Macaca fascicularis: one gene and its partner. The protein of the gene in region 2 purifies or fractionates together with the protein of the main gene of each other region. This does not show direct contact. Links are inferred from orthologs where the notes say so. Each region holds a gene or a part of one and is shown on either strand. Other genes may lie near its edges.

Evidence for each region.
Region 1: the proteins of EHMT2 (region 2) and MIER1 purify together in Homo sapiens (co-immunoprecipitation; 3 studies listed by BioGRID and IntAct, with this or other methods). This does not show direct contact. The link is inferred for Macaca fascicularis from reciprocal best matches to the Homo sapiens genes EHMT2 and MIER1.

What each region holds. Positions count from the first base shown.
Region 1 is NC_088375.1:167,723,382-167,734,963, forward strand, and holds part of MIER1 (mesoderm induction early response protein 1), read right to left. Parts: intron 4,055-11,582; coding exon 3,893-4,054; intron 2,954-3,892; coding exon 2,821-2,953; intron 2,127-2,820; coding exon 2,062-2,126; intron 1-2,061. UniProt on the Homo sapiens protein: Transcriptional repressor regulating the expression of a number of genes including SP1 target genes. Probably functions through recruitment of HDAC1 a histone deacetylase involved in chromatin silencing.
Region 2 is NC_088378.1:139,820,126-139,831,707, reverse strand, and holds the end of EHMT2 (histone-lysine N-methyltransferase EHMT2), read right to left. Parts: intron 10,152-11,582; coding exon 10,017-10,151; intron 9,892-10,016; coding exon 9,777-9,891; intron 9,618-9,776; coding exon 9,516-9,617; intron 9,297-9,515; coding exon 9,148-9,296; intron 9,056-9,147; coding exon 8,912-9,055; intron 8,826-8,911; coding exon 8,590-8,825; intron 8,511-8,589; coding exon 8,328-8,510; intron 8,209-8,327; coding exon 8,126-8,208; intron 7,652-8,125; coding exon 7,545-7,651; intron 7,448-7,544; coding exon 7,325-7,447; intron 7,235-7,324; coding exon 7,133-7,234; intron 6,310-7,132; exon of another isoform or gene 6,052-6,309; intron 5,930-6,051; exon of another isoform or gene 5,809-5,929; coding exon 5,683-5,808; intron 5,592-5,682; coding exon 5,437-5,591; intron 5,352-5,436; coding exon 5,184-5,351; intron 4,746-5,183; coding exon 4,601-4,745; intron 4,229-4,600; coding exon 4,151-4,228; intron 3,790-4,150; coding exon 3,674-3,789; intron 3,566-3,673; coding exon 3,479-3,565; intron 1,570-3,478; and 10 more. UniProt on the Homo sapiens protein: Histone methyltransferase that specifically mono- and dimethylates 'Lys-9' of histone H3 (H3K9me1 and H3K9me2, respectively) in euchromatin.

The DNA of each region.
Region 1 (11,582 bases), on a different chromosome or scaffold from region 2:
TCAGCCTCCGGAGTAGCTGGGACTACAGGCGCCTGCCACCTCGCCCGGCTAGTTTTTTGTATTTCTTAGTAGAGACGGGGTTTGACAGTATTAGCCAGGATGGTCTCGATCTCCTGACCTCGTGATCCGCCCGTCTCGGCCTCCCAAAGTACTGGGATTACAGGCTTGAGCCACCGCGCCCGGCCAATTTCGTAAATCTTTAAAAACAAAAAAAATGAATCTCTGAACCTTGACAATTATTTACAACAACAAAATCACACTGAAAGAAAACAATCTGCATTTACTCTGGCCTGCTTTATTACATAATTTTTTTTCTGAGAAAGGTGTGGTTAATTAATACCCTTTCTGAGTAAGGTATGGGTAATTAATACCCTCCAGCAATGAAGGTGTTCTACCTCTTAGCTTTTGTTCTTGCATTTAAAAAAAAGCACTGAATGCTTAATCAAATACTCTACTGAACACTCCAGATTAAAAAAACAACATATGTTGAAGATACATAAACTTGAATATGTAGTGGGACAGCAATTTAAAAGGACTCCCATGGTTTCTAGCTTTTTTCATCTTAATTTCTGCTTACTGCAGGAATCAGATTAAAAACAGGATGAAAGAACCATTGCCCAAATGGGCCACACAAATAAACTTTTGTGATTCTTGTTTTCTGTCTTGAGTTCCATCATTTGCTCAAATTAACACATACCGCACACTGGGCTAATCTTGTCTCTCAACAAAAATAACATTATTTCTTTTATATAAATGATTTGTTTTAACCAGTTCTACATAAAAAATTTTTTTGAAGACATGGGGTCTCACTAGGTTGCCCAGCCGGGTCTCAAACTCCTGGGCTGAAGTGATTCCGCCTACCTCAGCCTCCCAAGCTGGGACAACAAAGGAAAACATCATTGCAACCAGCTAATTCTACATAACATTTTGACAGATTTTCCTAAGAGCTCAGTTCTTTTACAATAACTTAAAATTCTTTAACTTAACTGTATGATTAATTATATGCTATATATTTTATAATTAAAAACTAATCTCAATATATTATCTTTAAATTCATTTCAGAAATTAAGTTGTATATAGTTATGAAGAAGCCAAATCTGTTTCTTCACACAATAAGCTTACCAGTTATAAATGTCAACATTAAATCCAATCATTTGGAGAGTTTTCCTTTTATAAAGTAATACAGAATGAAAAACTTACAAACTACTAAACAAAATTTACTTAACAAATATCAAAGCCTCCACAATTGCTTTCCATAATATTGAAAAATATATATATGATACTTTTTACAGGGCAACAAATGCCTAATTCAGCACTACTTCAGGACTAAATCAGAAATGTGGATTTTTGTTTTATTTTTTGTTTTGTTTTATAAAATGAGACAGGGGGCCAGGCATGGTGGCTCAAGCCTGTAATCCCACCACTTTGGGAGGCTGAGACAAGCAGATCACGAGGGCAGGACATGGAGGCCATCCTGGCTAACATGGTGAAACCCCGTCTCTACTAAAAAAACACAAAAAACTAGCCGGGAGTGGTGGCGGGCGCCCATAGTCCCAGCTACTCGGGAGGCTGAGGCAGGAGAATGGCATAAACCCGGGAGGCAGAGCTTGCAGTGAGCTGAGATCCGGCCACTGCACTTCAGCCTGGGTGACAGAGCGAGACTCCGTCTCAAAAAAAAAAAAGAGACAGGGTCCCGCAATGCTGCCCAGGCTGGTCTCAAACTCCTGGGCTCAAGCGATCTGCCTGCCTCAGCCTCCCAAAGTGCTGGGATTACAGGCGTGAGCCACCACACCCGGCCAGAAATGTAGATTTCTAATCTTATTTTGAGTGCCAACTTCCTCAACAAAATCCAATCCTTTAAATTCATTTTATTTTATAAAAAGATAAATATATCTCTAACCTAGATGTGTTAAGGAATCTGAACATTTACCAAACATTTAAATGTCATAAAAGGGCTTACATCGATTTTATCAATATACATAGTTAGTAAAAAATAATTACACTAGGCTTTTAAAAAAATATTAATTTATCTAAATTTTGGGAAAATATTGTTCTAACTACCTTTTTCCAGTCTTCTGATGGAATGTAATCTTCATCTTCTTCAGATTCTTCTTCTACTTCACTGTCTAGAATAAATAAGACACCAATACTATAAAATGACTGCTTAAGCTGTCTACATCTACAAATTATTTTTACATCTACCATCAAATATTTGGATATGCTCAAAAATATCTAATGAATTAAGCCAAGATATTTCTAACCAAATAATTAACACCCTATCACTTAAAAAAACAAAACCAAAAAAACCATTAACTTTCTACGTAACTGTATTCTCATGAAATGATTTCCTATAAAAACTTTTGGGAAAAAACAGATTTAGAATAAAGATAATATTACCTTACTACATATTTCATGACAGTTTATTTTTCTTCAAGTGTTTTTCTTCTTTTTAAACTAGAGAAATTTAGGTGTATTTATCAATATACCTAAAAAAGGCTAAGAGGCAAAGAAAGTAAAACATGGAAACTAAGGGAAAGCCTATGAGAAATAAAAAGACCATGAAACAAACATTTAAAAACAGGGCAAGGAAAAAACAAATACAACTGAAGTCAAGCAGTACATGACACAATTACCGTAGTATATTCACTAACAACAGGGACCGTGCATTACTAAACTAATAACTTACAATAAAAATCCATTTACTGTTGAAAAGAATTTCAGACTAAATGAATTTAAAGACCAGTTTAAAAAATGAGGATTTTAGGTAATACCTAAAATAGTAAAAATTATATTCAAATATTATCAACCAGTAACACTTACTTGTATCAAAATATTTACATCGACGTGGGCGGATAATTTCCTGGGCATCTTGAGAAGCAACAGATTGTGATGGATCATCATTGGAAGACTGAGTTTCATCCTCCTGACCTGATGAATCCTTTATATTCTCCTCCTGAGGAATAATAAATTTAATTTCTTTAAGATGTAAAGAAAATGGTTGCAGATGAAAGGCCATAGCATATAAATGTTGTTCTAATATAAGCAGAAGACTAAAATGAATATACTAGATGTAATATCGTATTCTGGGTTGGATCCTGCAACAGGAAAAAGTACATTAGCAGAAAAACTGGTATAATTCAATCTGCAGTTACTAGCACCGTACCAAGATGTTAACCTCAGCAGAAGCGGATCATATAGGAACTTTCTATACTAACTTTAAAAGTTTTATAAATCTAAAATTATTTCAAAATAAAGAAAAATAAACACAAACTGCCAATTAGCCTTCATTATTTAAAAGCAATAGCATTTTTTTGAAAGTTGGTATAAATGGCCAGGTGTGGTGGCTCACGCCTGTAATCCCAGCACTTTGGGAGGCCAAGGCGGTTCATGAGGTCAGGAGATCGAGACCATCCTGGCTAACGTGGTGAAACCTTGTCTCTACTAAAAATACAAAAACTTAGCCAGGCGTAGTGGTGGGCGCCTGTAGTCCCAGCTACTTGGGAGGCTGAGGCAGGAGAATGGCGTGAACCTGGGAGGCAGAGCTTGCAGTGAGCCAAGATAGCGCCACTGCACTCCAGCCTGGGTGACAGAGTGAGACTCCATCTCCAAAAAAACCACACAAACAAAAAAAGAAAGTTGGTATAAATAAATTAGAATAAGCACTGGAAAAAAAAGAAACCTGAAACGAGAAGACCAAACTGTTACCTCTCAGGAGCAGATTACAGGGGATTTCCAATTTTTATGTTATGTATTTCTGTAATATCTTAATGTTTAACACTTTTAAAATCAGGAAAAGTAAAGATTATAAAAACAAGTAATCAAAATGTATTAAGAAATTTTAACTTCAACAAGAATAAAGACTACAATCTTAAATATATGTATGTACACTTACTTTATTTTCCCCACTACAGCCACTGTTGTCATCATTATCAGCATCTTCATCATCTTCACCTTCTTCTTCCTCTTCCTCCTCTTCCTCATCTTCTTCAGGTAGTCGAACAGTACTACCATAACCATAAAGGCTGAGAAGTTCATGAATTGGCATGTCACCTTCCTAAATAAATAAAAATAAAAGTTAATTTCTGAATCAGTGATATTTCTGATTCCCAGGCTATAATCCACAAATCTGTGGAGTATTCATTCTATACTGAAGAATAAAAGCTGTATCATGAATTCTCAGATCATAAAAAAGTAAAATTGAAAATATTTCTGAAACCCATGAATATCCCAATCTTTTTAGTATTTCTATAAAATTAACCAATTCCAATTGCTGACAAGATTTTTAAGTATAATTAAAAAGTAGCCTTGGTCTAACATGGACTATTCTTTTTGCAATCAATTCAATATATGCACAATGACAGTTAACGCTATGCATGGATGCCCACTCTTAATAAGAGTACCATACTTGAGGGTGGAGAAATAGAACAACGAGAATTAGACTATAAGTTAAGTTAACAAACCCAGAAAGGCAGATGAAATTCAGAGCATCCAGAGCTCAGCCCGAACACATGAAAAAACAAAACAAAACAAAACAAAAACCAGTAGTAATATACAGAAATGATAATGGACTACATTAACCATATATTCTTTTCTATGGTTATCTCCATTTACACATAAAATTATCTCATGCAATCCTTACCATCTATCATACCGACTTGTTATATTATTTCCATTTCATAGATGAGAAAACATAGGCTGACAGCTTAAGCATTTCTTCAGAAATCACACAAGTTACAAGGAGTAGAGCCAGATTTAAACAGTCTAACTCCAAAAGCCCATATTCATATCAATACACCACGGTGCCTTGGCCAGGGACTTCCCTCAATCCCCACAAAAATCAGACCCTCTGTGGATGCAAAAGAAATGTCCATATGCAATGAAATGAGATCAGCTTTCTATACAAACTACTCACTCTAACCAGTAAACAAGAAAACAAGAAATGCACAGCATCAGGGAAACGTTAACAGAATTCTGATTATAAAAAGAAAATTTAATCCAAATCATGTGAACACATTATACACTCATGCACACCCACATACAATGCACATGGTCTGAAGCAAAACACTCAAAAAATCATCAGTTTAGAAGCTAGAAAAAAAGGGTAATCATGAATAAGACATGGTTCATATTTCTCCAGCAGTCATGGAAAGAAAGAAATAAGTCTAGCTAGTGTGTTAAACACATTGCTACAATGGGTATGGGTAAATCAGACTGGATTAGATGACACAATTAACCTCCATCACTCAAAATCCATGTGAGAAAAAATTAATGATTATAATTTGAAAAGATTTTCTTATGAAGAACTAGGAAGAAGGCATCATCCAAAACTTCTATCTCACATTACAAATGGATATTCTGGTTATGAATGTTTGTGAATCTATTTCTGAAAGATAAATCAATTCCAAGACCCCTAATGATTTGCAGAAGCTACAACCTGAAAAAGTGGTAACTTTATCAAGGCAAGATATTGCCACTCTAGCTAAATAAGCCGCTGGCAAACAACTGATAGCTCTTATACTGTGTTTCTCAAAGTACAACACCAACAGTGCTTTAAGTGTTCAAGTATCTGGTCCATGTACCAAGGATCTGGTACAGGACATTGGTTATTTGGGAATGTGGGAAGTCAGTCCTTAGGAACTAAAACAAAACTTCGAAATAAGAGACAGAAGTGTAATAAGAGAAATGTAATGAAAAGGCTAGATTTATTTTTTTGAGACAGAATCTTGCTCTGTCACCCAGGCTGGAGTGCAGTGGCATGATCATGGCTCACTGCAGCCTCAACCCACTGGGTTCAAATGATCCTCCCACCTCAGCCTCCCAAGTAGCTGGGACTATACATGTGCACCACCATGCCTGGTTAATTTTTGTATTTTTCATAGAGAAGGGTTTCACTATGTTGCCCAGGCTGGTCTCAAACACTTGGGTGCAAGCGATTTGCCCACCTTGGCTTCCCAAAATGTAGGATTGGAAACGTGAGCCACCGTGCCCAGCATAAAGCTAGTTTTATACACAAGAATAAAAAATAGCTGCCATAAAGTGTCTTCTATGTGTCAGGCATTTGTGATAGGTGCTTTGATTTCATTGTCTTTTTTTCTTGCAACAATGAAAGCAGTGTCAAAACACACAATTCCATTAAATCTGCACTGATAGAGACTTTATTATAATACCCAGACCTCCTAATCTCAGGTCATTTAACTTTGCTTAGGCTCACACCCTGCACCCCAAAATCAGAAGCAAGTTTAGCAACTGATCACTATTGTGAAGAAAAGCCACTGAAGTCACTAGTATGAATAAGGGCCCCAAAAAGATAAAACATAAGCGTAACAGTTTGCAACTAAAATTTACATAGGCCTTAAGAGTTCATGAAAAACTTGTTTCATTATTTGATCCTCAAAACTATCCTGTTACTACTACCTTTAATTTTTATAACTGTGTTATAACTAATCCTTTGAAACCACACAGCTAATTACACAGCCGTGCTCTATTTTGAACTCATCTTCTGACAAGATCATGGTACTTGGTTCACTCCAAAAAAAGAGGTGTATAATCAACCAAATAAATGCCCTCAGGCTCTCTACCATTGGTCTGTCTTAAGGGCATCCGAATTACCTTGAGGGTTTACTAAAACGGGCTGCTGAGCCTCACCCAAGTTTCTGACCTAGTAAGTCTCCAGTGACGCCTGAGAACCTACAATTAAAAAAAGAAAAAAAAAAAATCTCAGGTGATGCTAATGCTGCTGGTATGAGACCACCTTGGAAACCACCAATCTCACAGGTCTGGATGAGATACCTGCAAATCACCTTATCCAATGGGAGGTAATAAAGCTTGAACATTAACTTTAATAAAGCTTATCATATGACATGATATCCAGCTCAAATATTTGTCAAAAGGATAGGTGACATACTAACTACATGGAGAAAAAATTTTTCTTTTTTAACCATTATCAAGAATGTAGAATGTCTGACAATCATAGTTAGATTAAGGTTTTTCCCTCTTGGATATACAGATGAGAAGTGTGACTCACTTTATAAAAATTCATTTCTCAGGCCAAGCGCAGTGTCTCACGCCTGTAATCCCAGCACTTTGGGAGGCTGAGGTTGGCAGAACACTTAAGGTCAGGAGTTCAAGACCAGCCTGGTCAACAAGGCAAAACCCCAACTCCACTAAAAATACAAAACAATCAGCCACAGGCATGGTGGTGCACACCTGTACTCTCAGCTACTCAGGAGGCTGAGGCAGGATAATTGCTTGAACCCAGGAAGCAGAGGTTGCAGTGAGATGAGATCATGCCACTGCACTCCAGCCTGGGTGACAGAGTGAGACTGTCTCAAGAAAAAAAAAGGAAAAAGGAAAAAGAAAAAAATTCATTTCTCAAAGAAAAATTCTCCAACACCTCCAATATTGACTAAGCAGAGAACAGAGAGTCAAAAGTGGCCTGATCACAGTGCATTTAGAGGGGGAATGCTTGAATTACAATCGTAATAGAACTGGCACAGATGGAGAAAAATCATTCAAGTCACAGCAAATGACAAATGCACAGGTACAGAAACAAAAATGAATAATCCAGTCACCCTGATTAGAGCAGACATACCATTTATAGTAACTAAAAAAAAAAAAAGTATCATTTCAGAAGGCTACACATTACTGAAAGATCAGTTACAGATTAATGAAAGTGAGGATTACTATTTTTAACTACTTTCTCTAGTTCTATGTAATTTTTAAAGGGATCTGTTATATTCCTGACTCAATTTGAGCATACTGAATGGTTACTAACACTATGGAAGTATTTAGGGGAAATTACACACACAATAAAACACTCAACATGAACTTAGGCAGGGGAAGATTTAGTTTGCTTGCCAAGTAGACTGAGCCAAGTGGGAATCCACTGCTATCATTCACTACACATTCACCTGTATTATGATCAGAAACTAAATGAAATTAGTGGTTGTGGAAAAGAAAAAATTTAAGAGACGAAACAGGATTCAACCAGGGATTAGGAGAGATGGAGGTCCTGGTGATGCTGAATCCCTGGTTCCATATATTCCTTGTACCCAACTACACATTCATATACCTTCTAATAGTTTATTTTTACACAAGGTTATTTTTAGATGGGTTTTATCAAATGTAAACAAAATATCCTTACTTACTCAATCAACAAAATGCTTACTTATGCTGGGCGCAGTGGCTCACACCCGTAATCGCAGTACTTTGGGAGACCGAGGGGGCAGATCACTTGAGGTCAAGAGTTCAAGACTGGACTGGCCAACATGGTGGAACCCCACCTCTATTAAAAATACAAAAACTAGCCAGGCATGGTGGTGCTGGCATGTAATCCCAGCTACTCAGGAGGCTGAGGCAACTGCTTGAACCCAGGAGGCAGAGGCTGCAGTGAGCCGAGACTGTGTCACTGCACTCCAGCCTGGGCGACAGAGTAAGACCCTGTCTCAAGAAAATTTAAAAAAAAAAGAAAAAAAAATGCTTACTTAATAGTATTAAACTTGTAACTCAGCTGTCACCCAATATCAGGTGAGTAATATCAGTTTAGTAAGCAACAAAGAAAAAATCATCACCACCAAAAATACAACTTGAAGCATGACAGCATAAAAAGTCTCTTATTTAATCTAAGGTAAAAGTGAAAATCTTGCAGCAAACTCTGGGCTACACCTACGATAAAAACCAGAATCAATTTTGCTGAGGAATCCTGTTTCAAATTGCAATAGCATGTATTTGTGTTCCTGCTTTGTGCTAACTGAAGTACTTAAAGATTTAGCAAGCATAAACAAGCATCACATAAGGATTATTTATTTCCCCTGCAAGCCTCTCCTACTCTCTTCTACTTCTGTACTTTGAAATGTTCTTTCTTCCATTCCAAACATTTATTTTCCTTGAAAGTTCACCTCCTGGACCACAGCAGCTGACATAATTGGAATCACTGTATTCTCTGGCCATATATTTGGAGTGGGCACATGACCCACGCTTGTCCATACTTTGTTTCTGGATTTTTATCAACAGCAACTTAAGAAAGAAGCACAGACTATCTCAAGAAGTAAATGTGGGAGACCTACAAACTGACAGCATCATATGAAGAAAGTTGGTCTGAAAAGAGAAGTCAGGTGAGTCAGGTGGGACGTGGTGGCTCACGCCTGTAATCTTAGCACTTTGGGAGGCCAAGGTAGGCAGATCACTTGAGCTCAGGAGTTCGAGACCAGACTGGGCAACATGGCGAAACACTGTCCCTACAAAAAATACAACAAGAATTAGCTGGGTGTGGTGGTGCATGCTCATAGTCCCAGCTACTAGGGGGGCTGAGGCAGGAGGATGGCTTCATCCAGGGAGGTCGAGGCTGCAGTGAGCCGAGGCTGCAGTGAGCCAAGACTGCACTGCTGCACTCCAGCCTGAGTGACAAAGTGAGACACTGTCTCAAAAACAAAAAGAGGTAAACCATGTAGACAAGCAGAAATAGAGAAAATAAATTCTGGTGGCACTTGAGTCCCTGGGGAGCAGATATATCCCTCCTTTAATGAAATTCCATGAGACTTACATGAAATTCTTCATTTTGTCTAACCTAGTTTGAGGTTAGACTGTGTGTAATCTAGTTACAGACAGATTTCTGTCTCTGCACCCCCAAATTCCGATGCTATAAACAGTAATGATATGGTGTAACACAAATATTCTGTTATTTCCCTCTGAAAAAAAGACTTAAGGATGAATAAAACTTGGCCAAAAGTAGTACACTATTATACCAGGGCCTGTCAGCCGCCTGTTCCAGAGAATTTCTCATTAGTTTATATTACCAAAGGCTACATTCTACCAGTTACTCAAGGGCTTACTTCAATTTAAATTGAAACATCACAATAAAGTGGCACAGTGTTTTAATCCCATTCACGTAAGTGTTAAAAGAGTATAAAAAGGGGAGAACAGAGTGTAAGAGAAAATTATGTGTAAAGTTGTAAATTTTCAGTTATAGGTCAGGGACTTTTTTGAATCTTATGAATGACATTAACTACTAAGATTTATTTTGTGTTTATTATGTGCCAAATATTATGTTAAGTGCTTTAGATATATTATTCTTGTAATAACATCTGAAGTTTAACAATCTTAAGTAACCTATCCTAAGTCACAAACTGAAATAAGAAGTAGAGCTGGATTGCGAACCTGGGCAGTTTAACTCACTGCTTTACACTGCCCTTCTGTACATATGCGTATATACTGCCTTCTTCAAAATCTAACATCAGGTTAAATATACAGCATCCTGTTATAATGTGAACTAAGAGGGCTGATAATCTGTGAGAAATAAGGAAAGTGAGCATAGTACATGATAAATAAAAATACTGGAATGTAGCCAGGCACAGTGGCATGCACTTGCAGTCCTAACTACTCAGGAGGCTGAAGCGAGAGGAAGGCATGAACCCAGGAGTTTGAGGGTGCTTGAGTTATGACTGCACCACTGCACTCCAGCCAGCATGACAGAACGACACCCTGTCTCTAAAAAATTAAATTAAAAAAAAAAACAAAAACAGGAATACACACTGTATTTGCAGATTGTACTTTAAGAAATGAGTTGTTTTACACTGTAACAAAAGGAGGGGCAATCATGTCTGCATAAGCTAAAGGAAGGCTGGCTGAAGGTGGGAGAAATTGAATTTTTAAAAGATAAACTGACCAGGCTCGGTGGCTCACGCCTATAATCCCAGCACTTTGGGAGGCCAAAGTGGGAGGACTGCTTGCACACAGGAGTTCAAGACCAGCCTGGGCAACAGAGCAAGAACCCATCTCTACAAAAAATAAAAAATTAGCCGGGCATAGTAGTGTGCCTACAGTCTCAGCTATGCAGGTGGTGAGGCAGGTGGATCGCATGAGCCTGGGAGGGTGACAGAGTAAGACCCTGTATCAAAAAGGATAAACACCATATACTATATCTCAAGTTAAGTCTGCTCTAATTTCAAGACAATAGGGTAAAGTTATCAAACACCAACATATTATAAGGTTGGAGTGGCATCCAACTCCTAGCTGCAGAAGAGGTGCTAGTTCCTAGCTCCTTCTCCCTCACATCAGGAGGTTAGTCATTAAGAAATGGCAGATGCTGACCTTCAAGTCAGGGCCATTTGATGGATGGAGATAGTACTCTTCTTACACCTGTTGTACCAAAACTGACTTACCAATAAAATGCTAATGAAGATAGGAAGAAGAGGCTGATTTCCAGCCAAAAAGGCCTAAGGGACCACATCCAGACTGAACTAGAGAGATGGTTCCTAAGGTAACCAACCTCTTGGGGCTGGGGCTTGACTAGAACATACAACCATATAGGAATGAAGGCAGTGAACTCTTCTTTATAATCCTCACACTGAGATTTCTTTTCTATCTATATAATGTGTGTATACTTCAATCTCTCACATTTTAATCTCACATTTTAATTATTCTCTAGCTCTGGAGATTCACTGGATGGAACACATCTGGTACTTTAAAAGTATATATTAAGTACTGATACTGTTATAGTGTGATTTTTATAAAATATATCTAAATACATGAAGATACTGCAATCTAGATCTTTCTTTTCCCAAATGGACTGCCACAATTGTGCC
Region 2 (11,582 bases):
TTTCTCCTGCCTCAGCCTCCCAAAGTGCTGGGATTATAGGCGTGCGCCACTGCGCCTGGGAAATGGGATCTTCATAGTGGGCCCCCACAACCCCCCACCTCCCCGCCCCACACTGGGCAGCCGTCACAGCAGCCACACCCATCCAGCCTGTTTCCCATCCTCTTCTGGCCGTTGGACCCACATTCCCTCCAGCAGAGTGTGCTTTCTCCCCACCCCAACACAAAAATAGCAGTTTATTACCAAACCCAACATTTATTGAGAACAAAAGGAACCAGTTGGCATAGAGGCCCGACTTCAATTCATCAAACTTCAACTGAGGATGGGAACAGGGGGGTGGCCAGCCCTGAAGTTGCCCTCCCAGGGAGGAACCAGCTCTGGGAGGGAGGGGCTGTCAGACCTCCAGGGCCTGGCTGGGATCTCTGGTCAGGAATGTGTGAAGGGGTGGTAGAGAGAAAAGATGGCAGCACCCCCAGGCAAGGGCTGCGAGCAGCTGGTGGCAGAGGAGGCGGCTGAGCTGTGGCCGTCCATGCTGGGGAGGGAGGGTGTGGTCCGTTCTCATGTGTTGACAGGGGGCAAGGAGCCGAGCTCGGGCAGCAGCTCAGGGTGTGGGTCCAGGCGGGCCAGACGGCTCTGCTCCAGGGCAATGGCTTCGGCTGAGTGCTTGCACTTCTCAGAGCCACACTGGCAAGTGAAATATTTGCTTTTGATGTCCCAGAAGCGGTCGCCATAGTCAAACCTGTCAGAGGAAAACAGGAACTTGTGGGAGCTGGACCCAGCCACCAAGAGCCCACCCGGAAGACCCTCTGGATCCTACTCCCTAAGAGGGACCCCGCATCCAACCTATCTTCCCCAGATGGGATCTGAGCCCTTGTCTGTTCTATGGACGTGCAGCATCAGTGCTGCCTGGGGACTTGTTAGAAAGGCAGAATCCTGGGTCCCATTCCAGGCCTCCTGATTCAGAATCTCGCTGGGAGGCGCAGGACTGTTTCACCAAGTCTCACCAGATACTTATGTACACTGAAGTCTGAGAAGCTCTGCACTGCTCCAAGCCTGGACACCAGGTACACGCCAGCCTTCAGGTCCCAGGTTTGCTGCATCTCCCACCCTCTGGCAGAGCCCCTAGAGACCCCTAGAGTCTCACCCTAGCTCCTCCCCAGTCCGGATGTCTCGGGAACTGAAGAAGGCGATGCGTGGAAATCGCAGGTCTTGGTGCAGCATGAAGACCCGGACGGGAATGATGTTGGGGTCACACAGGTGGTTGATGAAGCGGCTGATGTTGCCATAGTAACGGGCATCAATGCAATACACCTCTCCATCCTGGGGTGGGGGGACGGCACTCTTCACATCTCCCCCCGCCCTGCTTCCCTGATCGCCCTCCCCACCCACTGACTCCCCAGTCCCTCATCCCCAGGTTTCCATTTACTGACTTCCCAGGAGCTCCTGAAAGCCAGCCCTGGGGAGCAGCAGGATAAGGGGGGTCTCCTGCTCACCTTGTTGTCCAAGTCGAAGAGGTAAGAATCATCCTCTCTCACATCAGCCTCAGCATCAGAGATCAGCTCCCCGACATACCTGTGGGACAGGAATCCATGGTTCTGAAGGTGAGTGTGGGCTATTAGGAGGCAGCTTAGGCCCCATCTCTCCTCACAAGCCTGTGGAATCTGGAATAGGCAGGGCTGGCAGGTGTGGGGAAGGGAAGGCCTGGAGTAGCAGTGGTGGGCAAGTGAAAGGGCAGCATTCCAGCCTCAACAGAGGAAGCCTTCAGTCAGCACAGAGAGATCACAGGCTCTGTGGTTAAGGGGATTAGTGTGTAGGGGCAGTTGGCCTGGGTGGGGATGTTCAGGTTTGGATACAGAGAGGTTTGTGTACTAGGAGCCACCCGGCAGGAATGGGCGATATGGGACAGAAGAGGGGCCAGGACTGCAGGAAGAGCCAGAGGTACAGGAGCGGCAAGGAACTCAAGGCATGAGTCAGGGCAAGAGCACCCATATCTGGACACCAGAGGGAGGAGAGGAGCCAGCTAGCTAAGGAGGGGCGAGCAGACACTGGGAGATTAAGACACATGGAGAGGACGTGGGGCGGGGAGTCACTGTCAAGAGACAGCTTCAGCAGAGCAGGAGGGCAAAGGCCGGTTTTGCCAGGGACAGGCAGTGAGTGGATGGTGGGGAAACTGAGGCCCAGCAGGAAAGGGCTGCTTGCTAGAGAAGTTGAGAGATGACATGATGGAGAGAAACTGGATGGTCTCTTGAACAGGCAAGTATGCTTAGAGGACTATCTTTTTTAAAGGCCAGAGGACAGTTGGGCGTGGTGGCTCAAGCCTGTAATTCCAGCATTTTGGGAGTCTGAGGCAGGCGGACCATCTGAGGTCAGGAGTTCGAGACCAGCCTGACTAACATGGTGAAACCCCGTTTCTACTAAAAATACAAAAAATTAGCCAGGTGTGGTGGCACGTGCCTGTAATCCCAGCTACTTGGGAGGCTGAGGCAGAAGAATCGCTGGAAACTGGGGAGGTGGAGACTGCAGTGAGTCAAGATTGTGCCACTGCACTCCAGCTTGGGCAACAAGAGTGAAACTCCGTCTCAAAAAATAAATAAAATAGGCCGGGCGCGGTGGCTCAAGCCTGTAATCCCAGCACTTTGGGAGGCCGAGGCGGGCGGATCACAAGGTCAGGAGATCGAGACCACAGTGAAACCCCGTCTCTACTAAAAATACAAAAAATTAGCCGGGCGCGGTGGCGGGCGCCTGTAGTCCCAGCTACTCAGGAGGCTGAGGCAGGAGAATGGCGGGAACCCGGGAGGCGGAGCTTGCAGTGAGCCGAGATCGCGCCATTGCACTCCAGCCTGGGCAACAGCGTGAGACTCCGTCTCAAAAAAAAAAAAATAAATAAAAAAAAAAATAAATAAATAAATAAAATAAAATAAAAAATAAAGGCCAAAGGAGACCAAGGTAAGACTGAGGGTCATGAGATGGGAGCCAAGAGAAAGGGGGGGATTACAGATGCTGGGCAGCTAACTGATGGAAAGGGACAGGCCCCTGAGGAGGTGGACAGAAAGGTAGCTGTTACCACCTCCACTCTACAGACAAGAAAAATAAGGCTCACAGAAGTTGAGAAACTTGGCCAAGGACATCCAGAAGCAGAAAGGGGCTCAAACCCAAGTCTGTTTGTCTCCCAAACTGGCACTTTCTCCAGCTAGGAAGGGCGAGGAGGGGGTAGAGGGGAAGGTAGAGGGTGGAGGTGGAGGGAGGGAAGACCTGTGGTCTGGGCAGAGTGGAGGCAGGTGCCATTCTCAGCTGCGGGGATGGGGGTCAGAGGAGGCTGGCTGCTCAACTGCAGGAATAGGGGTCAGAGGAGGCTGGCTAGAGAGTGGCCAGATGGAGACATGTGACTCCTCAGGGCAGGGGGATGAGAGGGAGGCCTAGCAGTCAGCAGTGGCCATGTATCTTCTTCCCACCAGGTGTCAAGGTGCTCCTGGTGACTTACTCGCAGATGAAGGTCCCCTGTGGGATGGTCTGCAGGGCGCGGACCCCCCAGCCCATTTTGGCTGTTCGGTAGAGCTGTAGTCGCACCCTGGGAGTAGGAGAGAGGGCGCTGTTGGGTGGAGGCCCTGGAAAAGCCCCAGGGGCAGGGAGGAAAGGGTGAGGTGGGGAGAGGGTGGGCTGTGGAGCAGGGCCTCACTTGATACCACTCTGTACGACCCGGTTCTTGCAGTTTCTCCAGCAGGAGCACGCCTGGTTACACTCGAAAATCAGCGGGGGCTCAATCTTGTTAAATTCCTGGAGCAATCGCCCATCCTAGGGTGCGGAGGGGAACACAGTGGTTTCACCTTGGGGGCCACCTCAGCTGCCCGCCCAGGAACCCCAAGACTCTACAGAAAAATCCACTGCTGAACCCAACCCAGAGACAGAGAAGATGGGGTTGGGGAGGTCACACAGGCTCTGAGATCCAAGAGCAGGAAATGCAGGAGCATCATCCCTGATTTGCATAGACCTGGGCACACAGCCATGTCCCAGGATTCCCAGGCCTTGCCCCGTCCTCTCAGTCACTTCCCCCACAGGGTAGGTGAAGGACAAGGTCCCAGGGAGCTGGCCTGTTGGAGGCTGGCTCCTCTGAAGGAGGGGCCGGGTGTCTGTGGCCAAGGCAAGGGGCACGCACCTTGTCATACCAGCACCGGATGCTGAGCTGGCCGCACAGGCAGTTGGAGCTGGAGCAGTCGTCCACACACGTGCAGTGCTGGGGCGAGGAGGCAGGGGTCAGCTCAACCCCACGATAGGTCTGGGTTCCTCTACTCTCGGTGCCCCGACCCCCTAACCACTGTCCTCTCTTTGGGGTCCATGTGTTACAACAGTGGGTGGCGATGGTCCGAGGGTGATGGGGAATCAGTATGTTGCTCATGGTGATGTCCCCACGGCTACTGGGAGTTCATATGACACCTTTCTGTGACCCAGGAAAAGGTTCCCTCCCCTGGGGTGGATGCGACCCCACACCAGGGCTCCCTTTCAGCCAACCCTTCCTAGGCCAGGTGCCTTTGTTGGTTTGAAGCTTGTCTAACTGTACTCGGCAGCTCTCGGTGTCCTTTTGGGGAGGCCCCGGCCCCGTACTCACCTGCAGGTGGGTGATGTTGCGGTCAATGTTCATGGTGGACGTCTCACAGTTCTCTGAGATATACTTGTAATCCTCGGGGCAGGACTCCCCGTCCACGCCATTGACACAGGGAATGGGCACGTTCTCATAGCCCCGAGCCACGTCCCTGCAGAAGACGGGGAGAAGGTGATGGCAGGCTGGAACTGGGTGAGGAGCTACTCCAGGTACAGGGAGACAGTTGGGGAGGTTCCTGGGGCTGGGGGCAGGGGAGTAAGGTTGGCAGGTAAGATGCAGGACAGCCAGTTAACGTGGAATTTTTGATAAACAAGAAATAGCTTTTTAGTACACTATGTCCCAAAAATTACACAGGACATTCTCGCACTAAAAAAGTATGCATCTGTGCATCTGAAATTCCAGTTTAACGGGATATCTTCTATTTTTACTTGCTGTATCTGGCAACCCCAGTGGGGAGGGGGCCTGTGGGTGGTTCTGGGGATTCAGTGGTACATGGGGAGGGGTTGGGGAATGTTGTGAGGATGCAACGGAGCCTGGGGAGGGTGGGTGGGGAGGTGGCCTTGGGTGCAGAGAGGGGCCCAGGGCTCACCGGCAGATGATCTTCTCCGTGCGGATGGCCCGATTTCCCACCCCGAGTCGGAGCTTGCGGTTGAGCTGAAGCGCAAACCACACGTCGGAGCGCTCGGGAGTCAGGTCCCATGCTGTGTCCCCCTCCTTGTTCCGCAGCTCAGGGTTGGCCCCACGTGACAGGAATAACCTGAAGAGGGGACAAGGTGCCCAATGTGGGGTCTGAGGCTGCAAGAAGTGGGGGCAGGGGCATCAAGGGCGGGGCAGGGGCTCACAGCACGCAGTCATGGTAGCTCTCCCGGGCTGCGATGTGCAGGGGGGTGTCCCCATGGTAGTTGACAGCATGGAGGTCGCAGCGCGCATTCAGAAGGACTTCGGCGATGGCGGCGCTGCCCGTGAAGGAGGCCCAGTGCAGGCAGATGTTCTCCTCCTGTGGAGATAGGAGGGGAACAGATGAGGTGCAGGCAGCTGGGCCCTTGAATCCAGCCTCCACCTTGCTCAGGGGCCTGGGGCTGCCCTACCTCAACCAAACTCTCACTCACGTTGTCAGTGAGGGTGACGTCGGCGCCCCGCGTCAGTAGCATGCGGATCACCTCGATGTGCTTGTGCTCTGCAGCCCAGATGATGGGCGTCCACCCCCCACTGTCCTGTGGGTGGGAAGGGAGTGAGGGTGGGGGCGGCTGGGCCTGCTCACCAAAGCTGCAAATGGTCAAGATTGGCTGTGTGTGTGAATCCCAGCTCCACCATTCACGAGCTGTGGGACCCGGGGTAAGTCACTTAACGTCTCTGGGTCATAGTTTCTTCATCTAAAAAATGGGACTAGTAGTGCCTACTGCCTGATGCCGGAGAGAAAGTAAAGTGAGTAATTGTTCTCTTTCCAAAAAATACAGCCAGGAGCTGGTCATGGAGGCGCGTGCCTGTAGTCCCAGCTACTCATGTGACTGAGATGGGAGTGTCGCTTGAGCCCAGGATTTCGAGAATGCAGTGAACTATGACTGTCTGTGAATTGCTACTGTACTTCAGCCTGGGTGACACAGCAAGACTCTGTCTCTTAAAACAAAAAACAAACAAAAATTTCCTCAGTCTGCCCATTCACAAGTCCTAGAAGCAGTGACCACCCAGTAATAATAAACACTCCGAGGTCCATAGACTATTCTCTAAAACATGTTTCTGGCCGGCGCAGTGGCCAGATCACGCCTGTAATCCCAGCACGCTGGGAGGCCGAGGTGGGTGGATCATGAGGTCAGGAGTTCAAGATCAGCCTGGCCAATATGGTGAAAATCCATCTCTACTAAAAATACAAAAATTAGCTGGGCACGGTGGCTGGTGCCTATAATCCCAGCTACTCAGGAGGCTGAGGCAAGAGAATCACTTGAACCCAGGAGGTGGAGGTTGCAGTGAGCCAAGATCACGCAATTGCACTCCAGCCTGGGCAACAGAGCAAGACTCCATCTCAAAAAAAAAAAAAAAGAAAAGAAAAAAAAAGTTTCCCATAAAGGAAGCAGAGTTTCTTAGAGAAATGGTGGATGCTGAGTCAGGGGCAGGAAATGTGCTGAAAGGTCAGGACGCTCTCAAAGGCCACTGGGTCATGTCACGGCCACAGAGGCCTCTTGAAGGGGCTTCTCCTAGATAATGATGGAATAATTCAAAGACTGAGAAGAATCCCAATAAATGACGAAAACACATCCAATGTATGACAACCTGAGAGTTAAAAAAGCCTCACTGGACACTTTCAGAGATGAAGGCAGGAACTGATTATTCTGAAGCTTGATCAAGAGAAAGAAACAAGAAAAAGAAAAGAATGAAGAGAAATACAAATGAGGAAGAAAGCAAGGGGGACAGACACAAGCGGCCTGAGGCAGAGTGAAAGGGCCAGAGGTCAGATGTAGAAAGGGGGCCCAAAGTCTGAGGCCGAGCCAAGGAACCCAGGCACCAGGGAGCCGGAGGAGCTGCGCTGGGTGGGCCACTGACCTGGGCGTTGACGTCCACCTGTCCTGTGCTCAGCAGCAGACTGACCATCTCCAAGTTCCCGATTTTGGCTGCGTGGTGGAGGCAGGTGGAGCCGTCCTCCTCCTGAGGGAGACATGGGCAAATGAGTCTCCGGCTGGCACCCCAAACCTGGTCCCTGACTCCGGGGCCACGCCCTGCTGCCTGCATGCACACCTTGCTATAGACACAGCCACCACGCTGCACCATGTAACGGGCCACCTCCAGGTGGTTGTTCACCACGGCCTCCATCAGTGGCGTCCGCTGCTGTTTGTCCACTGCGTTTATGTTGGCTCCAGCCTGTGAGGGGGCAGGAGGGCTGGCACCAGGGAGGCATGGGGCAGGGGAGGGGCCTAAGGGCCTGGTGAATGAGGCATGGGGCCGGGCCCGTGCTGACCTGCAGCAGCACATGGCAGATCTCCACGGAGCCCTTCTGGGCGGCTGCATGCAGGGGCGTGCGCTTGCTCTGCTGGTCGCTCTGGAAGTTGGGGTCCAGGTTGTCCACTGCGGGGAGAGCCCGCCACACCGGGAGAGGGAGGGACAAGTGGTAAGCAAGCTAGGGGGCAGGTGGCACTTCTTTCAGGAAGGCTTCTCAGAGCCCCAAGTTGGGTCAGGGCCCCTCCTGGCATTCTCTGGGCTTGCCTCCACCACGGCATTTATCAGAATAAGGAGTCAAAGGCATCAGCTCTGCCTGAATTCAAACCCTGCCTTGCTTCTCAGTACCGCTGTGCACTGTGCAACGTCCCTAACCTCCCTGTGCAAGCCAAGGCTAACAAGTATAAGCACTCAGAACAGGACCCAGCACCTATGAGTCACCACCGTTCCCATCGTCACGGGTTATGTGTGTCTTTTCCCCACCACACTAAGTCCTTCAGGGCAAGGACTATATCCTTCATGACTACTCCTGGCCCTGTGCCCAGTGCCTGGTATATACATGGAACTTGGTCAAGGTCTGCTGAAGGAATAGGTGGCACTCACACAGCATCAGGATCACCTTCTGCAGCTCGCCCTGCTTCACGGACAGGTACAACTGCCGAGGGTGGAAACGGAGCTTCTTCCGCCTGCCAAGGGAGCACGGGAGTGGGGAGAGAAGGGGAGCTCCTCAGATTCCAGCATCAGTCTTGACACTGCTCCTCTGGCCTCAGCCCCAGTTACTGTGCCTGAACAACTCCCCACTCACCTCTCTGACTCCTGGATGACCAGGGCCTTTTCCAAGGCCTCCCGGCCTGGCCCCAGTGGCAGCCCCACGGCTGAAAGGCAGCCCCCATTGGGCAGGGTCAGGGAGGGCCCTGAGCTGTCGATGGTGTCAGCCAGGGGATCGCAGGGTGGGCGCCGGGGCTCCCCATGCCCTCGCATCCGGGCGCTGTGGAAGAAGGAGCTCATGTCCAGGAACAATAGTGATGGGGCAGGGAACAGACAGTAGAGAAGGGGGAGGCCAGTACCTGGGCTGAGAAGTGTCTGCTCTCCCGGGGGCATCCTGGGACAGGGGTGGGGGTGCAGGAGCTGCAGCACCAGCCGGTGGGGTCACCCCATCACCCCGGGGGATGGTCACTTCTTGAGCTTCAGAAGCATCCTCCCCACAGTGGGGACAGAAGACCATCCCATTCAGCTGAGACACACAGGCCTTGTGGAAGCGGTGGGCCACACGGAAGTCAGGGTGGCATTCCAGGAAGGTGCCCTGGGAGCAGGGAAACGACATGGTCAGGTTGCCGGGGCCCCGTCTGCCATGGGGCATTCTACCTGTCTGCCCCACTGGTCACTCACCGCCGTGCAGAAGTAGCCGCAGCCCGGGCAGCAGTGGTGTTTGACCATGCGGGCGCGGTGGGTCTCACAGAGCACCATCAGGGCCACGCGGCTGGATGGCCTCATGGTCTCCCGCTTGAGGATGGCGGCATTGCAGCCTGACAGCTGTGCGTGGTGAGGATGGGTGAGAAGAAAGGGTGAGGCTGGGGCCCGGGACTGGACGCCCTGGCACCTCTCCCACCAGCCCACGGCCCCACCTCTCCGTCCACACTCTCGGTGGCCATGCACTTGTGCCCCGCCCTCTCGCTGATACGGTCGATTTTGGGTGCCTCCATGCGGCAGCTGCACAGGGGCAACTCCTCAAACCCTCGCTCTGTCTCCAGCGAAGATGTGTCATTGGACACCCCTTGGACGGAGAAAAAGAGGAGCTGAGGGAGGCCCTGAACTTCACCCATTGGGACCCCTGGCGGGTCCTGTCACTCCCTCCCTACCTCACCCCCATGCCCCAGAACCCCTAAAGCCTGGCCATGGACACCCCGGCTCTGGCGTGGTTCCCCTCCTTCCCTTTCCCTCCTGCCCTGAGGTTGCCCCCTAGTGGCTCCCTGTCCCGGCAATTGGCAATTACCAGCGTGGTTGGGGGAGAGGGTCCCCTCGCTGGGCAGCTCCAGGGACCCCAGAGGGACCTCCATGTACTCACTGGGGCCTGAGGAGCCCACACCATTCACTCCTGACACAGAGACAGAGAGAGTGAGAGTGCGAGCTCACAGGTGCCTGGACGCGTGGGTACATGCAGGTGGACATGCGAGAGCGTGTGTGTGCGTGCACACACTCTGGGGGCTGGGCGGGGGCTGGAGGAGGGCACCCAAAAGCAGCAGAGCCTCCTTACCTCGTGGCTCCTTGGCCCGCGGAGGCTCCCGCTTGCGCCGTTTCCGAGATGGCTTCACCCATGGGCTGTCTTTTCGCCACTTCTTCTTGGCCTTGCGCCGGCCACTGGAACCACTCTGGGAAGGGGGAGGAGGAGGAGTTACGAACCCTCACCCCAAGGGGGCCCCCCAACACCTTCAGGACCAGACCACCAGCCCCACAGTCTCCCACTCCTCTGGAGATATCAGCCTCCGTCTCTTACCCTATCTGACTGATTCCCTGACTCCTCATCTTCCTCTTCTTCTTCCTCTTCCTCCTCCTCTTCCTCCTCTTCTTCTTCCTCCTCTTCTTCCTCCTCCTCTTCACTTAGTTGTTCAGTTAGAGCTTCAACTTCAGACTGGGAGAGAGGCAGAACAGGACATATCCAATCCCCAGGACTCAGACAATGAGATAGATTAAAAAAACCACCACCACCATTGCCCCCCGCCACTACCCACAGATGGCTGCTGGGGAAGATGAGTGTGGGTAGGAGAGGAGAAAAAGGGCCACATAAAGAGAGGGTGCATGGACTATTACACAGTAGTGAAAAAGGTGCCACAGTTATAGACAGCAATGTACACAGATCTTGGTAATGTGACATTAAATTAAAAAACAAAAAACAAGTACCAGAAGATAAACATAGTTTGATCCCCCTTTTATGATGTTCATAAACAGGCAAGACCACCAATGGTTGCTAAAAACACTAGACATGAAGCTCATGAGAAATTTTATATGAAATGTTCAGGCTGCCATCACCTGAACCCACTGGTCAATCTTATCACTAAGAAAAATGACCATATGAGATGTTCCATGCATCCTGATGTGATGTGGCCAGAAGCACTTGCACCCACTGTCAAGTCTTCTTGGCACCTGAAGTCGATTACGCCTCTAGATCTACCAGTTTACAAGAAATATGGGCAGAGAGGATGTGTCAATCTCTACCCAAACAGCCAACGTCATACAGAATGTGAAAAATTCTATACAACTGACCTGGTTTGACAAATAAATGGCAAGAAAAAAATGTCTTTCTTATTTATTTATTGAGTTTCGCTCTTGTTGCCCAGGCTGCAGTGCAATAGTGTGATCTCAGCTCACTGCAACCTCCACCTCTGGGTTCAAGCAATTCTCCTGCCTCAGCCTCCCAAGTAGCTGGGATTACAGGTGCCTGCGACCACACCCAGCTAAGTTTTGTATTTTTATTAGGGATGGGTTTTCACCATGTTGGCCAGGCTGGTCTCCTGACCTCAGGTGACCCACCTGCCTCCCAAAGTGCTGGGATTACAAGCGTGAGCCACCACGCCTGGCCAGAAATTTTTTTTTTAGAAGATGGGGAAACCAGGCAGGTGTGGTGGCTCATGCTTGTAATTCCAGTGCTTTGGGAGGCTGAGGTGGGCAGATCACAAGATCAGGAGTTTGAGACCAGCCTGGCCAACATAGTGAAATCCTGTCTCTACTAAAAATACGAAAAATGAGCTGGGTGTGGTGGCGGGTGCCTATAATTCCAGCTACTTGGGAGACTGAGACAGGAGAATTGCTTGAACTCAGGAGGCGGAGCTTGCAGTGAGCCAAGATCGTGCCACTGCACTCCAGCCTGGGCCACAGTGTGAGACTCCATCTCAAAACACAAAAACAAACAAACAAACAAACAAACAAAAAGAAGATGGGGAAACCTAAATACCAAGAGAGACCTAAGACAAATTTTTTTTTTTTTTGAGATGGTATTTTGCTCTTGTTGCCCAGGCTGGAGTGCAATGGCACGATCTTGGCTCACTGCAACCTCCGCCTTCCA